Linked DNA regions of Mus musculus. The protein of the gene in region 1 interacts with the protein of each later gene in a biochemical or structural test. Links are inferred from orthologs where the notes say so. Each region holds a gene or a part of one and is shown in the gene's direction. Other genes may lie near its edges.

Region 1 (7,331 bases):
CTATGAATGGGATGAAGGTGAAACCTTGGGTATGGTTCTTTGTTCCTAAGGGCCAGATGGAGGTAATATGCTTGATAGATGGTATGAGTCCATCAGGTGCTGACAAGATCTGATAAACTTCTGAATGTGGTAAACAGTTATTCCCAGACTAAGGCCTCTGAACTCTTGTTCCTAAACTTGGGATTTGTGTAAGCTTCTTTCTTGAATGATCCCTTCATCTTATGGGACGATTCCTAAGTTCTCTCAGTTACTCATCACAGACATTTCAATAAACAAGTTTTATATTTCCCATTTTTAAGAGGCAGCTGAGGCCAAGAGGCTAATCTGGCCCTAAGCCACAGAGTTAGTCCATGACCTCAATTACCTTTACTATGGTCAAGGGATTTCTGGGAGAGAGAGGAAGGAAATTGGTACCCTTCGATTGGGATAAATCAAAGGGACCTCAGCTCCTGTACCTTCATGTGCATCTTTTCCTCAGCCTCAGAACTTGAGAGTATAAATCCTACCGTCTAGTCGTGATAGACCTTGTACAGACTCATTTTCTTTTATTACTTGAAATGGTCAGTTAAAATGTGTAAAACCAGGCTCCAATTTTTCCTACCACTGTTATGATGGTTACAGTCAGTCTTTTGTGACAGATAGCCATCCATTCTGGAGGTATAACCTGAAACTAAGGAAAGTCAAAGGCTTGCCCAGCAGCCTATAATGAGAGGCTCTTGTAGAGGGCCACTTAAGGCATCTTCAGCTCAGAAGCCTTGGCAAGAGTGCAGTTCTTCCAGAGACCAGAGAGCCTGTATTCATTCGCTGGATGAAAAGGGTGTTGAACCTTGGGACGATCTCAGTTTTGGGTTCCCAAGTGAAGCTTGAACGAGGTCTGTCCTTAAGTTTCGCAGCGGGATCCTATGAGCATAGGTAGCCCTTGCCTAAAAACTGCTCAAGAATAACCGGGTTACATCAGACCTTTACTTTTTATAGGATCTACTTAAGGGTCTTTATGTTTCTTTTAAGCTCAACAGAACCCTGATTTTAACCACTGAACATTTTTTTTTTTTTTTTTTTTTTTTTTTTTTTTGAGACAGGGTTTCTCTGTGTAGCTCTGGCTGTCCTGGAACTCACTCTGTAGACCAGGCTGGCCTCCAACTCAGAAATCCACCTGCCTCAGCCTCCCAGGTCCTGGGATTAAAGACGTGTACCACCACTGCTCGGCTCAGAAGGAACATTTTAAAACTAGCCCAAGGGAGGTGTAACTAGGGTACTGGCCTAACACGCAGAAAGCCCTGAGTTAGATCTCCCAGCATGCTATAAACCGGTTATGGTGTGCACACCTGTAATTCCGGTACTCAGGAAATAGAGGCAAAAGGATCTGGAGTTCGAGGCCATCCTCCGTTATATAGCAAGTTCGATGTCATGCTGTCTGAAAAACAACAGGAGCCCGAATATAAAAGCGGGAAGGAACCGATCATTTCACTCTGTGCGTCGGTAGGCAAAGCGCCTGAGTCACCCCTCCTGGTTGTATTTTTCCACCTCCCACCCCTCCCAGGTTTTGGTGGATTCTAAGGGAAGCAGCCCGTTACGCCGGGCTCCGCACGCCTGGCCACGCCTCTCTCGTTAGCCCCGCCCACAACCGGATCGGCAGATTCGCTACCCGACTCCTTAGGATTATTTGGGCAGCTTTTCTTGTCTGAAAATTTTCAGGAAACGCCGAGAAGACTTCTTCCTTGTAACCATTTCGCACTAAGTAGGAAGTGTGCTGTTCCTTGAGTCGTTCTACTGAAAAAAAAAAAAATCCAGGACTAGAGGTCGACTCTGCCAACAGGGCTTGGCGAGCCAGGCGTCATTTTCTTGACTCTACAGCAGGTGAGAAGAGGTGACGGCCAAAGCCCAGGACGGTGGCGAATCTGCACTGCAGCCTCATAGGCATTCGGGCTGCGCAAGGAAGGGGCAGGGAAGAGGAGCCGAGGAGCGCGCATCCTGTCCACTCATTCGCCCCGCCCGCCTCGCGAATCTGCGTCGTTGGACGCGCCACTCAAATCTCCCGAGCTCTGGCTGGCGTCCTCCCCCTCGCTCCGCCCCCTTCCCTCAGGGGCTCGTCGCAGCTTTCGTCGCCGCCGATTCGCCAGGAACCCCAAGGCCGGAGCAGCTGGATCAGGGTGGTGCGGTCCACTCTCCGGGGAATGCGGCCCATCTTCAGGCTCCCTGGGCTACAACTCCCGAGCCTCGCAGGGCGCCGGCCGAGGCAAGGCCGCTACCCTCGGCCCCGTGGATCGCTCCGCAGTCCTTGTAGCGAAAGTGCGGATGCAGACGCTGTGCCCGCTGGGCCTCGCGCAGGTGGCGGTGGTGTTTGGTGCGCGCGCCGGGGAGGTGGTGGTGGGGGGGCGCCGCCGCCGCCACCGCTGCGGGGCCGGGTCTCGCGCTGCCGCCGCCGCCGCCGCCGCCTCACGCCGCTGAGGTGCTGCGCGCGGTGGGGGGAGGGTGAGCCGCTCGCCACGAGCGGGTGAGTAGGGCCCCGGCGCGCGTGCGCGCCGACGGGGTGGGGGGGGTGGACGACACCGAACGCGCCCGGGCGGGAGGAGAGGGCAGCGGCGCGCGTTACCTCCCCCCACCCCCCCGCCTGGATTCAGGGACCGAAGCTGGGTCTCAGATTCGGTCTCGCGGTGTTTCCAACGCCCCGAAGAGGTGCCACCTCTGGTTCGGAGGATCGGGGCGCGGGGACGCGAGCGGCTGTGTGGGAGCGGGAGCGGGGCTCGGCCCGGGCCGCTTGGCCGGTGAGGAGGCGGGAGGGGGCGGGGCCTGCGAGGGGACGGGGGAGGGGTCTTGCGTGGAGGCCAAGTGGGGCGCGCTGGGGAGAGCGGGAAGGTAAGGGGGCGCGAGATGGGCCTGGGCCCTGAGGGTAGAATTGGGGATGGAGAGGAATGGAGTGCCATAGTGAGCCCAGCTCCTCAGGGCAAGATCTGAGGGAGCCACGGGTCATGCTGAGGTGTCGGGGACTGGACTGATGTGAGACCCTGGAATCGGGGCTAGACATTGAGGGGACAGCAAGGGAGTCAGGCCTAAGTCGTGGACTCCCATTCCGTATCCCTCTTTTCCTGACAGTGTAAATGAGCAAAGATGGACCAGGAAGGTGGGGGAGACGGGCAGAAAGCCCCGAGCTTCCAGTGGCGGAACTACAAGCTCATAGTGGATCCTGCTTTGGACCCTGCTTTGCGCAGGCCTTCCCAGAAGGTGTACCGCTATGACGGAGTCCACTTCAGTGTCAGTGTGAGTGCCCTCGAGCCTTTCTTGACTTATTTGGACCTCCAATCTCCCCTCCCCGCTTCCCCCTGTTCAGTATTCAACACCCAGACTTCCTATACCTGTAGTTTGGTTTTTTGAGAATGAGCAAGCTCTCCCAGCTCTTCTGTATGTTGGCTTCTACATGGGCTTTATAGAGTCAGTAGGCTGGTGAATTTTCAGCCTGGTTTCATCTCTTCCTGCTTTCTTTGTTAGGACTCAAAGTATACCCCCGTGGAAGACCTCCAGGACCCCCGCTGTCATGTCAGGTCCAAAGCCAGAGACTTTTCCCTCCCGGTTCCTAAGTTTAAGGTGAGTGCCTGCTGGTCTCCCTGCATGTTGGTCCTTGGAGAGTGTCAAGGACCCTGGGCTTCACACAGTCTACCAAAGTGTTTATTCCGAAGGAACTATGACAGCCAGATCTCATTGCTTTTTGTGTCTGTGAGACTGAGATGTTTTGGACAGAAGGTATACATGTATAGCTGAGGTGACTCTAGTATATATCTGGTGACAAGGGTATTGATGTCTGGAAGGATGAGGTATGGGTGGGTATTCTGAAGCCTTGTGACAGTGGGATAGCCAAGTTATTCAGCAATTAAGGATGCTGCTAAGACCACTGTGCACTTGGAGTTGTGTGTTCTTGCTGTCATTGTGTGTGCTCCTCTGTCCTGTCTGTACGAGCAGCTTGCTTCCCTACTGTAATAAGATATTCTTCAAACTTCGGACTGTCTCGAAAATTGGTAGTTCTTTGTCTCCTCCTAATTTTGTTTTTGTTTTCTTTTACTGATTATTGGTAAAGTAAGTTGTGCAGTGGCTTCACCCTTCTGAATCCCCCCTTTCTTGAGCAGCTTTACTGAAAGCTCTTCTGTCTGAATGTTTATGTCTCATACCTCCTTCCTGCCAGCATCTACTGAGACACTAAAACATCATCTTTCTTCCCTGAGTCCTGCTCTCCTCACTTCCTCTTGACTGATGAATGGCAATACCAGGTACTCGGGTACCCAAGCTGGAAGCCTGGAGTCACCCAGTAGTTCTTTCCTTTCGTCTTAATCTTTAGGTTTCCATTGCCATGTTCTTCATGCAGAGTCCGATGTTTGCTCGCTTTCTGCAGCTTTCCTCAGTTTTAGGCTCCATCTTGCTGTTGTCACTGGTTTTAATGTTCTTATTTTAATTTTGTTTTCCAAGTCTGTTTTTCTTTTTTATTATATTATTTTTCATGTGTGTACATTCATAAATAAGCTTGCATGCCATTGTGCACATGTAGAAGTTAGAGCACAACTTGTGGGAATTGGTTTTCATCATGGGTCCTAGTGGTCAAACTCAAGGTTGTCAGGCTTGGTGACAAGTGTCTGTACCTACTGAGCCATATTGCTGGCATCCTAAGTCTGTTTTGAGGCATTGACATGTGTGGTTATTGATCTGGGCAGGCCTTATCACCTCTTTGACACCATATCCCTGTAATATTCCACCAGACACTTTTCAGTGTTTAGAAAATATCAAGATGGATAAATTTCATGTCTTGGAAGTTTGTTGTTTTGGTAAACTTTAAGCATCTACAGAGTCCAGAAAGAATGATAGCGGCTCCCCAATACCCTGTCTCTACATCTTTGCTACCACTGTGTTATATTTATATTTATATCTGGCTTATCTTTTTTTTTTTTTGAAACAAGTACTCCCTAGGTAGCCGCTGGCCTTGAACTAAGAATCCTGTGCTTCAGCCTCCCATGTGCTAGCATTGTAAGAGTGCACGGCACACTCGGCTCTGTCTTGTCTCTTTTCTGAATGGGAACTTTTCCTTTTTTTCTGTTTCTAGTAATTAGCTTATGCTAGTCTGTAACCCTGAACTAATAGATTACTTTCTTCTATTACTTTGTCCTATGTATGTTAATTCTTGTTTTGTGTGTTTTCTTCCCAGTTGTTGCTATATGTCATAAGAGGGCTTGAAAAACAGGTCACTGCTAATGTACCTCTCATGAGCCCCCTTGACGTCTCTGTCCCAGATTTGTCTTAATCTCATAGATGTCTCTGAAGTTTCCCAAATGGTAAGGAAACTGCTCACTATGGAAGCCCGAGACCAATTCTTGTCTTTCCACAGCTGGATGAGTTCTATATTGGACAGATACCACTGAAGGAAGTAACTTTTGCGAGGCTCAATGACAATGTGAGGGAAACCTTCCTGAAGGATATGTGCCGGAAATATGGAGAGGTGGAAGAAGTGGAGATCCTTCTTCATCCCCGCACTCGAAAGCACCTAGGCCTGGCCCGTGTGCTCTTCACCAGCACTCGGGGCGCCAAGGAAACTGTCAAAAACCTCCACCTCACCTCTGTCATGGGCAACATCATTCATGCCCAGCTTGATATCAAAGGTGAGGACTCGCTGCATGTTGCCTAAAGTTGGTTTCTAACAGGGATTCTATATGCTGATACTTAATTGGGCTCAGCCAAGTAATCAGGGTCATGATTACCAAAATTCCTGAAGTCACGTCTGTTTCAGAACTTATTAGATTTTAAATTTTAGAGATACATTTTGAGATTCATTTAGATATTTGTGTGTGTGTGTCTGTTTTGCCTGAATATATATCTGTGAACAGCATGTACGTCTTACACTCATGGAAGTCAAAAGAAGGCATCAGATTCCCCTGGAACTGGTTTAATGGTTGGGAGCCACCATGTGGGTGCTGGGAATTGAACTCCGGTTTTCTGGAAGAGCTACCAGACCACTTAACTGCTGAGTCATCTCTCCAGCTCAGGGAGGGTTTTTCTTTTTTGTTTGTTGGTTGTTTTAAACTTATACATATTTTGTGCTTTCTTCAGTAGCACATATGTTAACATTGAAACTTCAGGAAATTAAAGAACTAGAGTTTTAGGTCACGGCCTGCCAAAACCACAGATGTGTGAAGATAAAGATGAATTAGGCAGAGTCTCATTGTGGCACATGCCTATCATCCTTGTGCTTGGGAGGCAGAGGCAGGAGGACTTTGAGGCTAACCTGACTACACAGATGATTCCAGGTCAACTAGTGCTGCATAGTGAGAACTTTCTCAACAAAAAGGAACCAGGAGATAACCCTTAGTTGGTAACAGTACATACTATACAAATATGAAGGCCTGAGTCTGAATCTCCATCGGTCACACATTCTAGATATGGTTGTGTATGCCTATAACTTGGTTTTGTGGGGAGAAGACAGGCAGGTCCCAGAGTCTTTCTGACAAGCCAGGGTATAAATTGGCAAACTTCAGTTCTAGTGAGACCTTCTCCCAAAGGAGTGAGAGAGTACAACAATGGGAGATATCCAGTGTCCTCCTGTGGCCTTTGTGTGTGCACACAAATAAAAATAAAGAAAAATGGAGCAGGTTTGAACTGCTTTTAAGGAATTACAGGGAGAGATGTCATCGTACAGTGCCATCTAAGGGAAGAGGTTGTTAACTGATGTTTACAAATGGGAGTGAAGACCAATGTTTCCAAATTCAACTTAAGACTTTTGTATGTAATCTTATAGTTTTTATGTGTTTTTGAAACAGAATCTCACTACATAGCTTTGGCTGGCCTTGAACTCACTGAGATCCACCTGCCTCTACTGTCTTGAGTGCTAGAATTAAACTGTTTTAATTGTTTGTTCTGTTTTTAATGTTTTTATTTCTTTTATAGGTCTCACTCTATAACTTAGCCTGCCCTTGTAGTCTACACCTGGTCCCAGGCTTTATTCTTGGTGTTTTAACTTTACTTTTAAGGATTTGCTTTGCTTCTGTGTATGTGTGTGTTTGTGTAGATGTGTGCACATGTATGTGTATGCCACAGAGACTAGAAGAGGGTATTTGTTGGATCCCCTGGAATTGGAGTTGGGATAGTTATAGACATCCATGTGGGTGATTCTTTGCAAGAGCACAAAATGGTCTTAACTGCTGAGCCATCTTTCCAACCCTTGTTTTGGTTCTTTGGAGACAGGGTCTCATGTTGTCCTAATCTTCATTTATAGCCAAAGATGACCTTGACTTCTAATCCACCTTCATCCTGGATCATAGACTTATGTCACTGTGCTTGGTTTATGTGGTCCTGGGGAT
Region 2 (7,186 bases), on another chromosome or scaffold:
CTGTTTTGTTTGCTTTTTAGATTTTTTTTTTAAGTAGTCTTATTATGGATCATAGATTGTTCTCCAGAGAGTCCTGTCTAGTTGCTGAGTGCTGGGATTCCGTGTGTATTCTACTACACCCAGTGCTGATCTTGGCTTGTTTCACCTTAAAAAAAAAAAAAAAAAAAAGTATTTATTTTATGTATGTGAGTACACTGTCAATGTCTTCAGACACACCAGAAGAGGGCATTGGATCCTGTTACAGATGGTTGTGAGTCACCATGAGGTTGCTGGGAATTGAACTCAGGACCTCTAGAAGAACAGTTGAGGCTCTTAACCCCTGATCCATCCTGTTTATGTCATCTTTAAAAGCAAAAACAAAGCCCACTCTACAGCCCTGGCTGGCTCCCACCTCCCTAGTATGAGAAGTGGGAGCCACCACACAAAACCTGGAGCGTTTTTTTTTTGTTTTGTTTTGTTTTCTTGGTTTTTGTTTTGTTTTGTTTTTTTAAGTGACACAGTCCACTCCTAACTCCAGCTTTCCCTCTGCCCTGGAACTAGCTAACCATTTTGGGTCACTTTCAAAGTCTATCCTTTAAGGCAGTGATAATACTGGACTAGAAGCCAGGCAAGCCCACTATAGCAGATCAGGGAGCCGAACCAGCAAGTGAATCCAAGTGACCATCGAAAAATATGAAAAAAATTACTTTTTTTTTTCCATTTTAAAAACAGGATGCGGGCTGGTGAGATGGCTCAGTGGGTAAGAGCACCCGACTGCTCTTCCAAAGGTCTGGAGTTCAAATCCCAGCAACCACATGGTGGCTAACAACCATCTGTAACGAGATCTGACTCCCTCTTCTGGAGTGTCTGAAGACAGCTACAGTGTACTTACATACAATAAATAAATAAATCTTTAAAAAAAAAAAAAAAAAAAAAACAGGATGCTAAATCTTGGGAGGGAGCTTTAACAGTGAAGTCTAAAGAAGGTACAGGGTATAGTTTTTTGTTTGTTTTAAACATTTATTTATTTTTACTATATGTAAGTACACTGTAGTTGTTTTCAGACACTCCAGAAGAGGGAGTCAGATCTCATTACGGATGGTTGTGAGCCACCATGTGGTTGCTGGGATTTGAACTTTGGACCTTCAGAAGAGCAGTTGGGTGCTCTTACCAACTGAGCCATCTCACCAGCCCCAGGGTATAGTTTTGAAAGATACCTTTCAAGGCTTTTTTTTTTTTTTTTTTTTTTGGTAGAGAACATTTTGGTAAATTAAGACTGTTGTTACAGTCAAATTTGTATGTTAAAACAGACCCCTCCAAACACACACACACACATACACTGGCATCTCCTGGGTATATTTGCTTCCCAAATGCTGATATAAAAGAACAGCTTTGCCCAGGAATTAGGAGTCAATTTACCCTTAATAACAGGTTCTACCTAGAAGAAATTACACAAATTTGTAGTCACAGAACAGCACCCCCCCAAAACAAATTCAGTATGTTGATCAATTATATTTGTGAAAATATCAAGTAGATGGGCCACACAGCAAAGCTGTATAGTAGGGAAATTATAGATTTCAGGTGATGTTACAGCCATCTTAGCTTTAGGGTGAATGAAGCTAAACTGAATGATGTCTCTCGAGAAATTTATTAGGAGAATGTTGGAAGTTAGAGTAAATGGCTATTTAAAGTCTAAAGCAAGGCCACCTTAGAAGGCTCAGAAGGTAAAAGCATGTGTGCACGCACTCACAGACACACACACACACTAGTTTTTAAAGAGGCCTAAAATAGTTCCAGATCCTTTGCCTACATTTGATGTCTCCACAATTGCGATGTTGTAGTCAGCCAGTCTGCAGGATCTTTATTGTAGATGCTCTTCAGAAAACTTCAGTTCCCACAGCAAGTCGGGCACATGGCACCAGATCTGTCCTTGCTATCTCAAGCTCCATAGCAGCCTGGATCACCTGGATCACCTAAACTCAAAGGCAATCACTGGGGATTGAGTGCAACCACCTGTGGAAGGTTTTTCTAGAACAGATTTGCAATTTGGAAAGTTGCCATCCATTCAGGTTTCACTCAAACTGGTTCCTTCCCTTCCTCACACCCCGGAACAGATTGTAGCCAGGAACTCTGCCCTTTGTCAGGAGACAACTGCAGTACAAACTTACAATCTTGTCGTTTTCCCTCAGCCAACCACTTCCAGTTCTATCTAGCTACCTTTTTTCTTTAACCTAAGAACCTGAGATGCAACCCCCCCGCACATTTTTCAAGAAGGCTCCATTTTTTTCTCGTGTTCCATTTCGTCGTTTGTCAACCCAGGTTATAAGGGACTCTGGTTGTCATGCCTTTGCAATCACCTGCCAGTGAGTGAAATGTCCCTTCCTAAGGTTCCCCCTCCTCCCGCACTAGAAGTTAGGGATCTTCATGCGCTTCGACTCTCATTAAATTTTAAAAGAAGTTCCAAGCTTCTGAAGTTTAATATAAACCCAGTTGAAAATGCCACTTAAAACTTCGTGCAAGTGTATGTTGTACATCACTCAACTAACAAATCGAAGCCTCCTGGCTCGGCCGTGCAGTGGTTAAGTCAGTCGGTGATGGGTTCACCTGATTCACACCCACACACGAGCAGGCCTCTCCGCCAGGTCCTGCGGCCTCAGAGACACCAGCGTCTCCCCGGGGCTTGAGAGCACCCACAAAGGCACTAGCCCCGAGGCGACCTCAAGTCCTGCCCTCGAGAGAGAGGGTTTAGATGCTCCACGCCCGCAGGTTCACACCCCAGAACCGCGGGCTCCAGCTCCGGGGCCTCAGCAACGGGAGGCCGCCCCGCTGACGTCATCGTCCCGCCCCCCCTCCCCCAGCTCGCGCCTCCGTTCCCTCCCCGCCCCCTTTCCCGGCGTCCGCCGCGACACAAGCTCCTCGCCCTCTGATTTTGCTTCTCCCTTCAAGATGGCGGACACAATGAGCCGGCGGAGCGCCGGTTGGCCCTGAATTGACTCCGGAGAAGAACGGTCAGCGAGGTCCCGTCGTCCGGGCGAGAGAGCGTCGCCTGAGGAAGAGGACGCGGCAGCCCCACTGTCAGCCGTCCTTCGGTTCGTCTCCAGCGCGGCGCCCGCACCGCCGGGGTTGGCCCTGAGCAGCCCGCCCGATCGCTCGCCTCTCGGCCCCGCCCCGGCCCTGCGCCGCCGCTGCCTTCAGCAGCAGCAGCCGCCGCCGCCATGAAGCTGACCGACAGCGTGCTCCGGAGCTTCCGCGTCGCCAAGGTGTTCCGCGAGAACTCAGACAAGATCAACTGCTTTGACTTTAGTCCCAATGGCGAGACGGTCATCTCTAGCAGCGATGATGACTCCATCGTGCTCTATGACTGCCAGGAGGGCAAGTGAGTGTGATAGTGGCCGAGTTCCAAGTGCCCCTCTCCTTCCCTCTGTCGCTGGTCCCCGACTGAGCCCCCACCCCCAACCCCAGGCATGTGGTGCAGGCGCTCTTGCCAGGGCCACCTCCATCCCGCAGTGCTGCAGGAGATCCTCTTTAAGATGATGATGGTTCTTAGTTCATGTGTCTTTGCTCTCTTCCGAGCGCGCTTTTCCCGCTTGCCAAACCCCACCTTGACCTTGACCTTTAAACGCCATGTCCCTGCACCCTGCAGCCGGACGGATAGCCCTTTCCACTCCCCTGGCGACTGTCAGAATGTGCGGGTGGACTCTGAGCTCGATGCAGAACGGCAGGAGCTGTGTTCTGTCCATCAGTGGCGTCCAGCTCTCTGCCTTCACAGCAGTGACCTGGATTCAGCCCTGGCACGGTGCCCGCCCCCTACCCCTCAGCTTCCCGCGCGGCTTTTCTGCAATCAAGCCCCGCGGGATGCAGTTTTTAAGCTGTCAGGATTTATCGATTGTGCCCATGTGAGCTTGCTGTCCTTTCCCAGTACCAATACCCAGGCTTACAGTTAACTTACTAAACAGACTCTTGGAAACTTTTCTTTGCCAGACTCCTGAGAACTTGGCCGCCCCATTCTGGTCAGAATGTGAGCTCTCTTTAAAACAAAGAAAGCATTCCGGAACAATTTAGTGTTTCCTTTTGCATTACAAAAAAAACCCAAGTTTGGCCGCTTAGCCAGTAATCTCAGCATTTGGGCGATAGAGGCAGTCAGACCCTGAGTTCTGGACTTCATAGCAGAGAGACCCTGACTCAAAACAGTTAAAAAACAAAAAACAATAACCGCCAGATTGTGGTTTGCTTATAGTTATCAAAGTTTTGGAATTCTGGAACTGGTTATGGAAATTATGTTAGTTGGAGAACTTGTGTATCTTTGCCGTTTTCATAGCCTGGGTGTGAGGAAGACATTGCCTGTCTCATCTCTGGAAGTTCAAATCCTCGATAAGTAAGCAGTGACCTCTTTTGTAGCAGAAACTAGTTTAGGCTAAATTTGATTCCCTTTGTCAACTTCAGCTTCCTTCCTAAGCAGGAGGTGTTTAGTTTAATAGCTACTGTTTTCGACATTATGTTAAAGTTACCTGTTTTTGAATCCTTGGCTTTTTCTCTCCTTTTTGCAGCTGTTCTCTTTGTTTATTATTTTTTTCAAATAATAGTTTTCTTTTGGAACTTGTCTCTGAGTTTATCTAAAGTAAAGCTATTGTAGAATGAGCTGTATATGATATTGTCCTTGATGGGTTTCCTCGCTGGAGCTCCAACAAAGTATTACGTAACTGTCGTTGGACTTGAGCTTGCTGTATGTGGGAGAGTTTCCTACAGTGGTGATCCTGGGGAAGAGAAAATTACTAACTGGACAAATAGTTATTTGAATTGATGTTCATATTTGTGTATTGATTATTATCATACACTGGTCTGACTATTTGATTCTGTTTGGAACTACAAGTAATTTGAAATTGGTTTGTCTGACATGTTTGGTGCAATACATAGCTTAGAATCTCCCCCCCAAATCTGTAATGGAAATGCATATCCTATTCAAAGGAATAAAACACTAAGACTGAAAAAAATGTTTATTCAGGCATGTAACCTTTTTACATGATTACAAACTTACAGAAAGTTACAATGCTCCAAAGAACTTTCTTGAAAAAAGAACGTGTCCAGCAGTGCCTATAATTTCAGCGCTTGGGAGCTGGGGGTGCGAATCCAAGGCAGCTTGAACAGCTGTCCCAAAAAGGAAATGTAAGGGCTGGAGATGGCTACAGGCACTTGCTCTTAGAGAGGAACAAGTGGACTCCTACACCTTGTAACCATCTGTAACTAGTTCCAGGGGATTTGACCCCTAATTCTGATTTCTTGAGAGATGGCTCAGCTGTTAAGAGCACCTCTTCCACAGGTCCTGAGTTCAATTCCCAGCAACCACATGGTGGCTCACAACCATCTATAATGGGATCCAATGCCCTCTTCTGGTGTGTCTGAAGTCAGCTACAAGGGTACTCCTATAAATAACATAAAGAAGTCTTCATAAAGAGAGAAGTTTGTGGGGGGAAAAAAGTCCAGGAGCTAGAGAGATGGCTAACATGTGGTTAAGAGCGCATGTTAATTTTGCAGAGAACCTAGGTTAATCAGCAGCACCCACGTGGAGGCTCACAATTACATTTAACTCCAGTTGCAGGGGATCTGATGTTCTCTTCTGGATTCCATGTGCATCAGACCTGCATAGGGTGCCCATATATACAAGCAAGCAGACAAAATGCTCATATACATAAAATCAGTAAATGTAAAAATATATATGTATAGAAGAATAATCCAATAATTCCAACAGTAGAAGAAAATAACTGTTTCTTTGGAAGTAACATCTTTATTAGATAATACCAGTAGTAGAATTTGGGTATTTGAAAATAGCTAAAACACAGCTGATTTTTGTTTGTTGTTTTTAAGATACTACACCCCACAGTGGAACTTTGTCTGTAGCTATAGTGCTGGTTGGCTTCCAACAGCAATCCTCTGGCCTCAGTCTTGGCTTAAAAGGATTTTTTTTTTTTTATTGAAAGTAGTTTTTCATGCACACGTTCTCTGTGTACGTTTTAGCTGTGTGTGAGCTTGCTGTGCATGTATAGGTAGAAGACAGCGTGCAGGATTGGCTGCTTTCCTCCCTTCCTGGGAGCCCAGGGGGTGAACTGTGATTATTGAGCTTGGCGGCAAGTGCCCTTAGCCTCCATCTAACCAGCTCACCTGCCCAGGAAGAGGTTGTGAAGGGCTTTGGTTTTGTTTGTCCATTAAATGTTAGAATGTGGCTCATCCCTTCCTTCGACTTGAAGGAATATATAGGGGGTATTGCTTTTGATTGGTAAAATATTTCAAATTTTTTCTGTCTATGAACACACACACACACACACACACACACACACGTGCACATGCGCACATATGTTTAGTTTGCCTTAAGACAGTAGTCTCATGTAGTCCAGGCTAACTCTTATGTGTCCAAGGTTGGCCTTGAACTCCTGATCCCAAGTGCTGGATTATACACATGTATCCCACCACCAGCAGCTGGCTTTACTATTATTTTCTTTATTCATATCTGCCTCCAGAATCATAGTTTTAAAGAAGCTTGCCAAAATACTTGGAAAGTTCACATAAAAAAATATATCCATTGTTGATGTCAGACTCTTACTTTCAAAGTAAAACTGAATTAGTTTTCATTAAGACACATCTGTTAATGCTTTTTTGTTTTGCTTGGATTTTTTTTTTGGATGTAAGACATACAGACCATATCTTAATGGAACCCAGGTTTTTTTTAATACCACATGCTTTAGTGTACTGTTTACTTGAAGGGTTGAAGATAGAGTCCAGGGCTCCATGCATGCTAGCAAGCCTTCTGTGACTAAGTCATATCCCAGCCCTGTCTTCTACTGTAAATGGGCTGAAATACTAGGATTCGCTTTTACCACTGATAGATGCAAAGTCAGCATGCTCAGCCTCACTCAGTCAGTACTTACCTAGTACTAACCTCAGAGCTTCAGACAGTAGACTGGACCTAGTACTCAGTAAGTACTTACTAAGTACTGACTGCAGAGCAGAGCTTCAGAAAGTAGACTGGACCTGATGGTATTTGATTTCACAAACGGCAGGCATATAGAAAGTATAGTACAATAAAGAACTCTTGTTCAGAATAGGTTTCATGAAGCAGAAGGCCTCACCCTCTCTGACCTTAACAATTGAAAGTACAGAAATTGACTTGTAGGCAGCCTGGATCATCTGATTGCTCGACCAAAATAATATGGTT

Evidence for each region.
Region 2: the proteins of Setd1a (region 1) and Wdr82 form a complex in vitro, tested with the Homo sapiens proteins (2 studies listed by BioGRID). The link is inferred for Mus musculus from reciprocal best matches to the Homo sapiens genes SETD1A and WDR82.

Annotation. Positions count from the first base shown.
Region 1 is NC_000073.6:127,775,020-127,782,350, forward strand, and holds the start of Setd1a (histone-lysine N-methyltransferase SETD1A), read left to right. Parts: upstream 1-2,369; 5' UTR 2,370-2,494; intron 2,495-3,093; 5' UTR 3,094-3,108; coding exon 3,109-3,258; intron 3,259-3,486; coding exon 3,487-3,582; intron 3,583-5,365; coding exon 5,366-5,636; intron 5,637-7,331. UniProt on the Homo sapiens protein: Histone methyltransferase that catalyzes methyl group transfer from S-adenosyl-L-methionine to the epsilon-amino group of 'Lys-4' of histone H3 (H3K4) via a non-processive mechanism.
Region 2 is NC_000075.6:106,168,025-106,175,210, forward strand, and holds the start of Wdr82 (WD repeat-containing protein 82), read left to right. Parts: upstream 1-2,904; 5' UTR 2,905-3,194; coding exon 3,195-3,355; intron 3,356-7,186. UniProt on the Homo sapiens protein: Regulatory component of the SET1/COMPASS complex implicated in the tethering of this complex to transcriptional start sites of active genes.